Linked DNA regions of Astyanax mexicanus. The protein of the gene in region 1 purifies or fractionates together with the protein of each later gene. This does not show direct contact. Links are inferred from orthologs where the notes say so. Each region holds a gene or a part of one and is shown on either strand. Other genes may lie near its edges.

Region 1 (7,113 bases):
TCAGTAAAAGGTGAAATAACAGGCAGACTTCAACCTAATGAAAGGCAAAACAAGATATCTGCTGCTGAATGATAAATTAACTGATTATCTGGTTAAAGACTGTTAATAATTAAAGATTTATGACCACAGTAAAGTCTTCCTCAGGACATTGCCCAGACACCACTTCTTGCACATCAGCTGTGTTCTAATGTTACAGTCATGTTAGTCAAAGCCAGATCATAACTTCTCTGTTCACAAAGACTTGTTTCTATTGAAATCTGCACCATTTGCACAGCTAGCACCATAGCAGTGGTACCAGTCGGATAAACTGTACACATATTGCTATTAGCAGCGTGTTAATTTTTATATAGCAAACAGTAGTATCCACGTTAGGTTTGGTAATGGGGATTCAACACCAGGATAGCTCACAGGCCATTTTCCTGGCATGAGTATTGGTTGGTTTCAGTGGATACTGTTGTGAGGGGGTCAGATACTTGCTTGTAGTCCAGTAAATGTTAGGAACTTCAGTGTTCCAGCTTTGGTTTGGGTAAAGATTCTGTATTCAGTGTTGTTAAATGAAAGGTGAATGATATGCAAGTATTTTTTAAAGCAGTCGTGTAAGTGTGTTTTTAATTGTTTTAAATAATTTTGCCAATGCAGAAAAAAGCTAAATTAAATAGTGCAGAACTGCATTTTTTAAGATTCTGTATGTATATTTCGAATACTTTTGATTGATCAGTGTTAAACTACTTATAAAAATAACAGGACAGACCAGTTATTCACTAAATTCAGGTGTTTCATTTACACCCATCGCCACAGGTGTATAAAATCAAGCATTTAGCCTTTCAGTCAGCTTTTGCAAAAATCATGAAAAAATTGGTGATTCTACAAAGTCCACTCAAAGTCAAAATCTCCCAATTTCACCATCAACTGAGAGTAAAATAATAATATAGAGGACTTTTTTTTTTTTTTTTTTTTAGAAAAACACAGCACACCGGTCACAAACCGAAAAAAAAAAAAAAAAAACTACATAAAGTTACAGAGTGATGCCAGGTGCAGAGAGTCACAGTGCATAAATTAGAGCTGCTCAATAAGGGCTGTTTTCCAAACCTGTGCACAGGGAGCTTCATGGCTGTTTTCTTGGCTGAGCAAGCCCTATGTCATTGAAATTAAGCCGAGTATTATATATTTATATAGTAATACTATATTTTCCTTTCAATGGAAAATCTTCATCCAAATTGCAGTGATGAAAACAGCTCCACAGTGTCAGATGGAGTAAAAAACAAGTTTTGTGTAGTGATAAATTAAGATTTTTTTTATCTGGCAGGCTATGGATGAATCTGGGGTTGACTGTGCTGTTCCAACTGTTCCAATGTTTGGTGGAAGAATGGAGAGCTATGGGGTTGTTTTTAGGAATTCAAGTAAGGACTGGGAGGTTAATAAAATTAACCTGATTAATCAAATTACTGTTTGCACTGTGTATAATATAAAAGCTACATTTACTGTTGAAGGGGGCTGCTTACTATTTATAATAATAATAATAATAATAATAATAATAATAATAATAATATATATATATATATATATGTGTGTGTGTGTGTGTATGTGTGTGCGTGTGTGTGTGTATATATATATATATATAGATAGATAGATAGATAGATAGATAGATAGATAGATAGATAGGTAGATAGATAGGTAGATAGATAGGTAGATAGATAAACTTAATGCTTCAGCATTTTAAGATATTTTGGACAACTATTTGCTTTCATCTTTGTGGAAAAAGTTGGGAAAGGTCCTTTTCTGTTCCGGCATGACTGTACCCCTGTGCACACATATTTAGTGGCTGGTCATTTGTTTTTGTTTCTTCCTTTGCATAGTATTGTACAAACATTATGTCTTTATGGGACAGTTTAGCTTGTGCTACATGACACAGTGGTAAATGTATACCCTTAAAAGTGTAACATATGATTAACCATCACTATAAAATGTTACATGTTAATTGTGCAACACATACTAGTTTCTAGTATATTTCAACCCACTCTATCAAACATAAATTAACAATTTGTTCAATGTGTAATTATAATTGTGTTTTAATAATTTTTATTTAGCAACACTTTAAAAGTGGATTTTAGCTGTAGGCATTTGCTTAAGGACTGTTGCAGCACCATGACAAAAGACAATGGAAGTTGACTGCAGGTGGGATTTTATTAAAAGTCTGGTTATTACGAACATAAAGGACAATTTCCGAGTTCTTATCTCTAAAATATATTAAAGCATGAGCACATGAAGGGCGATGGGAATAAGAAACACAAACAACAGCAGCTAACAAGCAACAATAATATCAGAACACAAAGGTTTTCCACTGAGAAGAGTTATACAATAATAACCACCATCATTATAATCATCATCATTAGCACCACCCCCATTAGAATTTAAAAAATAAGCCAGGTTCATGTAGTTAGGTTATTTTCTTTCATTGACCTTCAGTGTCAGAGGTTTACAGATGTAGAGCCCACAGCCAGCTACATTAACTACAATATACAACAACATGTGGTTAACAATAATAAAAGCATATCAAAATAGCTAACTATAGCTGGTATATATGTGTGGAAAAACTGAAGGAAATTTAACTGTTTTCCTGAGATATGACCGATATCCGAACTTTCATAACAGTGTACAGCACGGTTACTTAACGCTAGCTAGTTACGTTACCTAACGCTAGCAGGCTAGGCTAAGCTAGGCTAGCTAGTTTAGCTAGGCTAGTTAGCGGGGTTTGAGAGGCAGTAACAGGGTATATAAACAGCGGTACGCGCTGCTGTATGATAATGCTGTGTAAGAGCATTAAACTCCGAGGCTTTAAGAATTACTTACTGTTTTATACGACAGCACCCTCTTCCCGAGGACACGGTAGGCAGCTAGCGCCGCGGCCATGTTGCTAATGTGTTAATGACAGGTCTGAGTGCTGCCCTTCCTCTGCTGCTGGAGTTACTGCGGGAGTGTCAACCGACTGAAGAGCTGAACCGCCACCCACTGTACTGGAGCCAGAGCTCAGCCTGACGCAGTTTTAAATCATACAACAGCAGCGCTGTCTCTGAACTGCGACACGACTGACTTTCACCACTATTTAACTGTAAAATATTATAAGTTTATTAAACGGTCGACACACTTACTCAGTGTTTACTGTAACACATCGGAAAAACAGAGCACACCAACAGCAGCAGAGAGAGGAAAGCCTTTCTTATTTTATGTAGGTTATTTAATGCGTTGTTTCTTAGATTCTCTGGAGTAGCCTTGACATCCTTAACCTCAAGTCCACTGACTGCTCATTTTTCTTGAAGAAGAGTGATACATTATGTTATGAAAAGAAAGATAGTATGTCTTACGACAGTTCTTATATTTTCTTTTTCTAAATGAGAAGTTAAATAAAAAAAATGCTGTATATAGTATAAATACACAGGGCACAGTGTGTATAATAATTTTGAGTGTATAATAAAGTTGAGAGTTTAATATAAAACATTATTACATTATTTTTAATTGTGACTGGGGATATATTTTTTTTTTGTTTATCTATACATAGTAGATAAACTGAGCATTTTAAAACGTGTGTATTTGATTGGCTGCCCTGCTGTGTAAACATTAGCATTATTGGTTCATTATTAGCATTACATACTTACTATATATATCATTCAGATTTTTTTAAATCATCTGAGGTTTAGTTTTAGTTAAGGGTTTTTCTGTGTTCAGAATCGTACAAATATATTCTCAGTAACAAAATAAAAGAACTGATATATAAAATCTTGCATATATGCTACCCAGTTAATGTTATTTTGTTTGTTTTTCTTTTTTTCAATTGAACACTTTTTATTTTTGGATTGTTCTTTTTTTAGACTTGAAAGAAGCTCATCTTCCACCTCCCATCCTCACCATGCTCTATAGTGGGGCTGTAGGAAGCATCCTGAGCACCTGCATTACCGTCTGGTTTTTGGAACTGCAACATCTCGAATTGCAAGACCCCACAGCAGAAAGTGAGGACAGCTGAGAAGATATTCAGAGTCTCTCTCCCCTCCATCACCAACATCTACACCACACAGTGCAACTGCAAAGCCACCAGCATTGCGGACGACCCCACCCATCCCTCACACGGACTCTTCGCTCTGATGCCTTCCAGCAGAAGATACAGGAACATCCGAGCCTCCAATATTAGACTCTGCAACAGCTTCTTTCATCAGACCATCAGACCCCTCAACACACAGATACAGAGCTGACCCCCCCCCCCATCACCACACAACTGAACTGAACCCTCCCCTTAGCACACAGAGACTGAGATGTCTCTATCCCTATCAGCAATATTTGCTTCATTCTATAGAAGTATAACTCTCTACCTCAGTAACTGCTGTGAACATGTTTGTTTTATATGTTAAAGTATGTTAAATATCCCTACACCTTTTTATCACTATACACATTTCATTGTACCGTAACTGCACTGTCCTGTCTGTTCAATTGTTCAATCACTTTTGCACTTTATGTTTGCATTGTTGTCCAATGTTGAACTGTGTTGGTTCCAGAGGACACTGGTCACTGTGTAATCAGATGTAATGATAATAAAAGACTCTTGACTATATATTGGATATTTTGATAACCCTTTATTTTACCACAAGGACGGCTTTATAGTAGATTTTATAATAATTGTAGGTAATTTTTTATATGCACAAAACGAAATTCGCAAAACAGATACCCTTATTCCATATAACATTTGTTTATTCTGTGTTTTGGATTGTCTGTTGTGAAAAGAAATTCACTCTCCAGTTCAGAGGAGGCAGTGCTGCACCTTAAACTGGTTAACGGCAGAATGAGGCAGTAGAAGAAGAAACCGGAAACTGAATCTGGTCAACTTTCGCTGTGTTTCCTGTTTACGGGCGGGAAGGGAGAACAGACCTGAATCTGTGTTCTGGCTGCATAGTCTGGTTTAGTCTGTATATTCACAGGTTTAGCCTGATTTCTGCGGTTTAAAGCAGCCTGTGTATCGGGGGGAGATCGGTGCAGGGCGCTAGAGAAGCATGGAGGAGCCCGCGGACTCTGGTGGAGGCAGTGGAGCGCTGCTGAGTGAGATCCGCTGGCCCGCGGGAGAGCGCTGCATGCGGCTGCTGGAGTGGAAGGTGAAGCCCGGAGCTCTGGTTAATGTGGACTCTGTTATCGCAGTATGTGGAGCTTCAGCCGCGGACAAGAAGTCCGGAGCGCAGGAGCGGGACCGGCCGAACAAACCGACCGTCCCCGAGAAGAAGCTGAAGTCGGACCGAGCCGGAGTTGTGAGAGAACTTTGCTGTCAGCTCGGGCAGGACCTATCCGCCGGGTAAGCTGCTGATTAAAGAGCAGAGAGGCGCTGTAACACATTAACATCACTACATTCACCCAGATCAGATCAGTTCATCACCACAGTCAGAGTCACTTATAGTTACAGCAGGTTACTGTCTGCATGTGGTAATTTGGGCACATGAGCTGCTAACAGCAACTTGAGCTTAAGAAGAGCTTTTCAAAATAAAAGTCCTGAGGGCACCTGTTACACAAGGGGCTAATATTTGCCAACAGTTTAAGAAGATTAAATAAAAATAAAACTTATACAGCATGAAGGTACAAACATTGCTAACTTCTGCCTTGCTCCAAAACACATTGTTTTCATAATTAGGTAAACAATTTTACCCGGCGCATGAAAATGAACTAACTAAGTTACAGCACTAACACTAAAAAAGTAGGATTGAGGCTATGATGGTAATGCAGTGGATACAGCGATAGGTAAAATAATGGTATTTCCAAATAATGACAGTATTTCAAAACTGATATGTATGTTGACAAATTTCTGCTACAGGTAATTTTGTTTACTTTATTTTATCTACAGTATTTAGCCTGCACTACACTGTTACTTTACAAAACATTAAAATAATTACCCTTATTGTTACCCTTATTGTGTTCTCTATTTATATGTGATCCACTAAGTTCCAGCCTTCAGTATGAATATACTAATACAGTTCAGTGAAAACAATTGTATATGTATATGATTTATATAAGACATTTGTTTTTATTTCATCTTTTGGTTTCACATATGTCCATAATTAGTCACAGTTTTAAACCCTGTCTTTTAAAGTAACAGGTTAAATAATTAATTTACGTATAATATACATATAGAGACCACTTAAAAATAAGTTTCTTGGATTTCACCAAGCTGAAAATAACCAAGCTGATCTGCTTGAATTTATGAATGCCATGAAGTTATCCAAAAGCAGTGTGTAAGACTGGTGGAGGAGAACATGCCAAGATGCATAAAAACTGTAATGAAAAACCAAGGTTATTCAACCAAAGTATTGATGTATTTTACACAACATCCATATGTTAAAACCAACCACATATGCAAAATCTCTAAACTACTTTGCATTTTATTATCTGGTTGTGATTCAGTCCAAAGAAGTACAACGAATGTTGCATGATCCATATGTGTTTAAATAGTTTGAGTTTTAGAGGGATGACATTCAACAGATATCAAAGTAAAAACACAACCAATGTTCTTTATCCTGTGCCGAACACTCTTGTCACTTTGGATGCAATTCCTTTAGCTTTTCAAATGTTGCTGCAGTACTGTGTTTGGGTTTGTGTGTGGTTAAGGATGTTTATTAGATCTGCAGTGTACCGATATTTACTTCACTGTACTGAGCTGAATTGTGTACCGTGTAGAGGGGTATCTGGTTTGTGGTGTTAATAGTCTTTAATTCACTTCTTTTGTAAGACACAATAGTTTTATCCATTTAACAAATATTGCAGTTTAAGTCAGATATGGTTAAGAAAACACCACACCTAGCTAAAATTACTAATGGGGCAGACACACAGCGTTCAGTGCTGTCTTAATTAGTCTCTGCAGCCTTGCATAAGCTCTGCAGTTTCATCTAGTGGTTATACAAGGTAATTGAGGAGCCCGCACAATGAGTCCCACAGAGATATGCTGTAATCTATTCTCTTGTTTATGGGACTGTGCATATCAAAGCATGACAAATACACACACACACACACACACACACCTCTACAAGTCAAGTTTGTTTTGCAAGTGGACACCCATGTACTGGGGGACCCTATCACATCTATATCCAC
Region 2 (7,514 bases), on another chromosome or scaffold:
CTATTAACTGCGCACTCACGTTTTCTAGCCTGAGCCTCAAACACGGCCAGGTTCTGCCGCGTCGCGTAGCGGCACTCCACCTTCTCACCATTTATCTGACAGTGTGGGATTGAGTCCATTAACTGTTTCACAGACTCCTCTGAGGACACCACAATCTCTGCAAAACTGGAAATAACAAAGAAATATGCTTTAAATTTATGGTGATGGGAGCAAAGAGAGCAAGGATAAGAGAAATAAACTGAGCAAAAGAGTAAAAAAGAGAGAAAACTCACCCTCTAGACTGACCGTTAGCTCTGTTCTCTGCAAACTTAATATCCACAACATCTTTAACACCCAGTGTCCGCGCTACATTTACCAGATCTTTGTCTGAGGTCCACTGTAGGATTCAGAAAAGAGGGCAGACAGAGATAAACCTTGTTAATCTTAAAGGAAGCTCTACAGAAATATATACAATAAGGAACATAAGTATTTGAACACCCTGCGACTTTGCAAGTTCTCCCACTTAGAAATCATGGAGGGGTCTGAAATTTTAATCTTAGGTGCATGTCCACGGTAAGAAACTAAATAAAAAAAAAATAATAATAAAAAAAAAAAAAAACAGAAAATCATAGTGTATGATTTTTTAAAAATAATTTAATTGTCTGTTACTGCTGCAAAAAAGTATTTAAACACCTGAAAAATCCATGTTAGTATTTGGTACAGTAGCCTTTGTTTGCAATAACAGAGGTCAAACGTTTCCTGTAGTTTTTCACCAGGTTTGCACCAAACACTGCAGCAGGGATTCTGGTCCATTCCTGGTCCAGCCATGACCTATCTTTAATGCTCTAACTGAGGGAACAAGGTTGTTACCCAAAATCTCGCAAAACATGGCCCCTGTCATCCCATGTGCAGAAAAACACCCCAAAGCATGATGCCTCCACCCCCATGCTTCCCAGTAGGGATGGTGGTTTTGGGATGGTACTCATCATTCTTCGTCCTCCAAACACAGCGAGTGGATTTAAGACCAAAAAGTTTTATTTTGGTCTCATCTGACCACAGAACTTTCTCCAATGTCTCCTCTGGATCATCCAAATGGTCATGGGCAAACTTAAGAAGGGCCTGGATTTGTGCTGATTTAAGCAGGGGAACCTTCCGTGCCATGCATGACCTTAAACTTTGGCGTCTTAGTGCATTACCCACAGCATGGAGCCCCAGTCCGAGGGAGAATGACAGTCATGTTAAGCCTCTACTTTAATTTTCTAATAATTGCTACAACAGTTTATCTTTTTTCACCAAGCTGCTTGGCAATTGCCCCGTAGCCCTTTCCAGCCTTGTGGAGGTCTACAATTTTGTCTCTGGTGTCTTTGGACAGCTCTTTGGTCTAAGCCATGTTAGTAGTTGGAGTCTTACTGATTGTGTGGGGAGAACAGGTGTCTTTATGCAGCTAACAACCTCAAACAGGTGCTTCTAACTTGGAATAATAAGTGGAGTGGAGGCTAACAGGTCTCTGAGGGCCAGAATTTTTGCTGATCGGCAGGTGTTCAAATACTTATTTGCAGCAGTAACATTATTAAAAATAAATGATAAAAAAATCATACATTGAGATTTCCGGATTTTTTTTTTAGATTTTGTCTCTCACAGTGGACATGCACCTAAGATAAATTTTAGACTTCAAAGTCGCAGGGTGTTCAAACACTTATTTTCCTCACTGTATATGAAACAGCATGAACTAGACATGCTTCCAAAATATCAAAACACTCTTCAGTTTATATGAACGAATGGTTAACTGCTTACCCAGGAGAAGTTTCCCACGTAGACTGAGAACCGTTTGGACTTATCTGCTGTACAGCCTTTGTACGTGTAAACTACTTCCGGCTTGTTATCATCCTTAGTTGTCTCTGTTTCCTGCGGCCTCTCGCTGCCTACAGAACCGGTCACTACATCGTCATACAGAGCGTCGTTTTCCGTGGAAAGAATGTCACCAGTCTGCAGGACAGACATACAGAGTTTGTACAGTACAGATTGTGTAGCGCTAGGCGTGTGGTTATCACAGTTAATTTATGGGGGGCAATTACTCTTTCACACAGGGCCAGGATTGTTTGGATAGATTTATTCCCTTAACAAATAAAAGCATCTCTAAAAAATAAGTTTATTGTATTTACTCATGGTATCTTTGTCTGATATTAAATTTGGTTTGATCTGTAAGGGGGCAAATACTTTTTCATGGCACTGTGTATGTGAAGTTAGAATGCGCCTTTTTTTTTAAACCGTTACTGATTTAGCATCATCAGGTAGCCAGTGTGCTCTGGCTGCTGATGGAGAATCAGCATGACCTACTGTACTCTCTCTCTCTGACTCTGGCTGCTGATGGATAATCAGCATGACCTACTGTACTCTCTCTCTCTGACTTTGGCTGCTGATGGAGAAGCAGCATGACCTACTGTACTCTCTCTCTCTGACTCTGGCTGCTGATGGAGAAGCAGCATGACCTACTGTACTCTCTAACGGACTCCGGCTGCTGATGCAGAAGCACCATGACCCAGATCTGCCACTTTTGGATGATACTGACAGCACCTTAGACTGCTTGAGCATTTGGAAGCCCTACCGTAATGTCTTTAAACTAATTTCAGCTAACAGAGAATCATCATTTCCTCAGATTGCTTTACACCAGTAACAGCCTGCACTCCTCTTGTAACTTTTTGTACTATTGGAACATTGTTTTGATGAGAAGCTGACTGCATTCAGCACCCCATTAGAGGTCATTTTAAATTGCAGCAACTTGTCTGTGGTCATTATAAAGTGTAGTAATGTGTTTGAGGTGATTATAAAGTGTAGTAATGTGTTTGAGGTGATTATAAAGTGTACCAACGTGTTTGCTTATAAAGTGTAGTTTTGTGTTTGCTGTGATTATAAAGTGTAATAATGTGTTTGAAGTGAGTATAAAGTGTAGTAATGTGTTTGAAGTGATTATAAATTTCAATAAAGTTTTTGAGGTAATAAAGTGTAGTACAGTGTTTGAGGTGATAAAGCGTAGTAATGTGTTTTAGGTGATTATAAAGTGTAGTACCGTGTTTAAGGTGATTATAAACTGTAGTTAAGTGTTTAAGGTGATTATGAAGTGTGGTAATGTGTTTGCTGTGATTATAAAGTGTAATAATGTGTTTAAAGTGAGTATAAAGTGTAGTACCGTGTTTAAGGTGATTATAAACCGTAGTTAAATGTTTAAGGTGATTATAAAGTGTGGTAAAGTGTTTGAGGTGATTATAAACCGTAGTTATGCGTTTAAGCTGTTAATAAAATGTGGTAATGTGTTTGAGGTGATTATAAAGTGCGGTAATGTGTTTGAGGTGATTATAAAGTGTAGTAATGAGTTTGAGGTGATTATAACGTGTGATAAACTGAGGTAAATCCTCCATGCTGCTGCTGATCTTACCGCCTCCGTTTTCAGCTCGTCGTATATGTCGATTGGTTCCGTTGCTGCTGCCATCAGGATAACCCCCTCCTGCAGGCTCTGCTGGTGTGCACTGGATTTCTGGTCTAATAAACCGTTTTTTGTAGGATTAATCCGAATTAATGTGAAATGTGCGGTAATGAAACTTGGGTTTTCTGTTTACTCTCCTCACATCGCCTGTTCCCGCCTTTCCCTACAGAAATAGCACATTTCCCCCGCAGCCTGAGCTCAGCGCGCTTTATAATAATTATTATTTTATACAGTATTATACTGTTCCTTTATCCACACACACACATTAATCTCCCAAAATAATAAATAATAACAATATATAAATCTCTACAGCACTCGGCCATCAGTGACTTCTAAAACACAGTCCGGAGAGAAACACAGCCGCGGTGTAAAGGTTCCTCCACCTCACGCTTCGGCCTGTAACATCCCATATTAGGTTTATGAATCGTATGTTATAAACTGCATTTTAAAATGAAGCAAAAATAAATACGTTTTAAACTCATTCTGACTATTTACCCTGAAAATCCATTACTTAGTAAATATTCTTAACTTAAAAATTATCAACACATTTTTTCCCCACAGTTTTTCAATGAAAATAAGTACGATATATGTCTTGAGTATTATTATTTTTTTATATTCTTTTTGCTAACTTTAGTTTTTATAAACATTAATGTAATAATTCTACATCCATGCTGTTGTCTGTTGGAACTACCTCACAAACGCAACTTGTGTAAAGATCTTTGCATATAATATTAAGATTGCAATAAAAGAGTCAAGCTAAATAATAAAATTTTAATAAATTCATTATACATTCATTTTTAAAGTGTTGCTATTTATATAAAACTGGGAGTAAAATCTTTAATAATTAATAATATTTCATTAAACTGGAACTGTCCATGCAAAGCAAAGTCAACACTGTTGGCGTTTAATTTTCCCACCTGTATTATATAAACCCCACCCCTTCTACGCTACTATTGGATAAATTGCTTATAAGCGCGAAGAGTCAGCCAATCGCAACACAATGGCGGGATCTGGTTGACCAATTGAAGCGCAGGGCAGGTGGAGCGTTCCTGAAAACGGGTGGGAAGGAAATAGCGCGTGCTGAACTCGAGCGTGTTGTGTTTGAGTCCTGCCAGCTGGATTTTACTGACTTTTACACTCGCGATGTTTTCTTCCGCACTGACAAGGAGAGTGAGTACTTTATATTGGATTATATGGGAGTCAATTTAACATATATTACATTATCAGTGACATTACATTTGTGTAAAGTATAAAGGGATGAGTGCAGGTTAAGTAATGTAGGTTTAGAGCTAAGTGATACTGGTGTAGCGCTCTGTCTTTTGGGGTGCTTCTAGTTAGCTAGTTTAGTTAACTAGTTAGCTACTAGTAAGCTGTGTGTAAAGTGTAAATAAATTAATTTTATTAAGAGTGTTTGAACTCTCCACAGTGAGCTAGCTGCTGCTGTGTTTTGAAAGGGAAGCCGTGTTAAGGTCACTGTAGCGAGTGTTAGCCAGTTAGCATGGCAAGCTAGCACTAGCTCTGTTGTGAAATTGTCCTCTAGCTGTGTTCTTTAGACTAATTTTTAGAAGCATATTAGATCATAATATTTCAGTCGAAATTCCAGTCTACCCGTATCACTGTTTAAGGTCAACATCATTCACTTTCTGCTTTAATATAAAGTTCATTTTTGGTTTAATTTCGCGATTTCCAAATTGTAGTTTTCAGATTGAGACATTTCAACGTGGGTGAAGGTGAGCCGGTCCTGCTAAAAACTACAACACCCATAAAGTGCATAGTAAAGAACAGCGCTCCTGTTCCCGGTTGCATAAAACAGGTTTACTGTTTCCCTTAAGATTGCCCTAAACGACACTTTAAAGACCAGTGTGTTGCAGAAAAAAAACAAACAAAAAAAGTGTTTTCTTAAGGGAAATAATCATAAACCCTTAAATGTTTCCTAAATGATCAAATTTCCCCTAAATAATCCCTTAAGTGATGAACAAAGTCAATCAACAGCTTATTCAAATATAATTATTTACGGGACCAACAAACCTCAATTAATAACTGGGTGATGTTTATTTCTGAGGGATGTATTCATATTGAAAATAATAATGAAATTAATTTTTAGAGGGTTGTTACAGCTAGTAAGTGGCTATGTTTACAGTTGAGCTTTACTGCAGTAAATCCTCTTCCAGTTCCCTTTAGATTAGTGACTTGTCTGAAGGATTTTATACAACACACTTAAGTGATCCCCTTAGCTAAGGGGAAATTCTTCCTTAAGGTTTATACTTAAAGCAACCGGGCACTGGTCCTGGGAGCCCACTGCTCTGCACATCTTGCTTCAATCAATGCTTTTCCTGTTTTTAAACATCATTACCTCAGTAATGCAATGTTAGTTTGATCAGCTGTGTTGGTCACTTGGAAAACATTAAATGTTTCAGACAGTGGGACTCCAGAAAAGTTTGGTTTTCTTTATTCAGTCTTTGTGTTTTGTATTTTTCACTGCATGTAAATAAATCACAGTTTGAATGAACTTCTATGTCAGCATGGTACCTCCATCCACTACTCAATTGCACTACCCGGTGTCTTTGTGTCTCCCTGTATGGGAGTTTGGCAAGCATCGTAACAAGGACTACAAGGCTGAAGCAGGAAAACATTAGGGCACAATGTATTGTTCTGTAACTCTGATACATTAAAAAACAGGCAAATGATTCTGGTAGAACAGTAAAAGGTATAATGCCTTACATAGAGTACCAACATTACAGCATTAATACAGTAAACTGCAGTGATTGAATTGTTGGGGTGTGCGTTTTGAGACGCTGCAGCATGTAACGTTTCAAGAATCATCACCGAAGAACAGATGTGATTTTGAGAGTGCATTAAATGAAACTTTCTGACTTAAATTAAAATAAATGTAACCATAGATTTGAGTTAAATATTGAACATTCAATTTTTACTGACGGTAATCACATTCTCACTACAGTAATCCTGTAGAACAGTACTGATGTTGATCGTTTTCAGATGCTCTGTGCTGTTTGCCGGACGTCCCTTCGGTCTCCTGTCACAGCAGCAGTGGTGACCCGGGGGTACCGGGGTGATGCTCCAGAACCTAATCTGATAGAGATCCCCCTGCCGCCGTGGCAGGAGAGAAAAGACGAGTCTCTGGACATCAAGAGAAAGCGTCTGCTGTACGAGAGCCGAAAGAGAGGCATGCTGGAGAACTGCATCCTCCTCAGGTCAGACACACAGGCACTCGCACTGGCACTCGCATTTCTACTGGCACTTGAACTCACACTGGCACTTGAACTCATACTGGCACTCTCACCCACACTCATACTGGCACTCTCACTCACATTTATACTGGCACTTTTGCACTCCCATTGGCACTCGCCCTGGCACTATTACACTCATACTGGCACTCGCACTCACTTTGGCATTTTAACTCACATTTATATTGCCACTCATATTCTTTCATGTTCTTGCTGGCACTTGCACTGGCACTCTCACTCATACTGGCACTCTCACACACTCATACTGGCACTCGCATTCTCACTCACACTGACACTTGCACTCTCACTTACATTAATACTGCCACTTTTACTCACTTAAACTGGCACTGGCACTCATATACATACTGGCACTCTCATTCACACTAATACTGGCACTGGCACTCATACTGGCACTCACTGGTACTCTCACCCATAGTGGCACTTGAACTGGCACTCTCACTATAATTAATAAAATAAAATATTTGTACTGTATTGCCTAGGGCTGTGACGATAATTTTATTACCGCAATACCGCGGTTATGGGACGTCACCGCGGTGATGAGCTCATTACCGTCATTACCGCATTTTTTTATGGCTGTCAAATCTGATTGACTGCGTTTTGAGCGGTAGTAAAATGCTCCATATAAGCACAACTGTGGTGAATTCAGTATTAATATGTCAAGTGTAAGTCCTACACTATAGGGCTGTGCAATATATCAAATATATTTTGATCGCGATAGATATTGGTGTCAAACGATCTCAAAATTCATAATATCGAATATAAAATTTTTTGTCATTTATCTGTGCTGC

What was found. Proteins that work in one complex are often made in the same cells at the same time.
Region 2: the proteins of sdha (region 1) and sdhaf2 purify together in Homo sapiens (co-immunoprecipitation; 3 studies listed by BioGRID and IntAct, counting the BioPlex papers as one, with this or other methods). This does not show direct contact. The link is inferred for Astyanax mexicanus from reciprocal best matches to the Homo sapiens genes SDHA and SDHAF2.

The regions. Positions count from the first base shown.
Region 1 is NC_064410.1:21,966,101-21,973,213, reverse strand, and holds the start of sdha (succinate dehydrogenase [ubiquinone] flavoprotein subunit, mitochondrial), read right to left. Parts: upstream 3,009-7,113; 5' UTR 2,911-3,008; coding exon 2,851-2,910; intron 1-2,850. Other genes in the region: ctdp1 (RNA polymerase II subunit A C-terminal domain phosphatase), read left to right, coding at 5,037-5,329. UniProt on the Homo sapiens protein: Flavoprotein (FP) subunit of succinate dehydrogenase (SDH) that is involved in complex II of the mitochondrial electron transport chain and is responsible for transferring electrons from succinate to ubiquinone (coenzyme Q).
Region 2 is NC_064423.1:8,988,543-8,996,056, reverse strand, and holds the start of sdhaf2 (succinate dehydrogenase assembly factor 2, mitochondrial), read left to right. Parts: upstream 1-4,506; 5' UTR 4,507-4,603; coding exon 4,604-4,630; intron 4,631-6,457; coding exon 6,458-6,672; intron 6,673-7,514. Other genes in the region: cleavage and polyadenylation specificity factor subunit 7, read right to left, coding at 20-165, 273-376, 1,774-1,965, 3,413-3,466.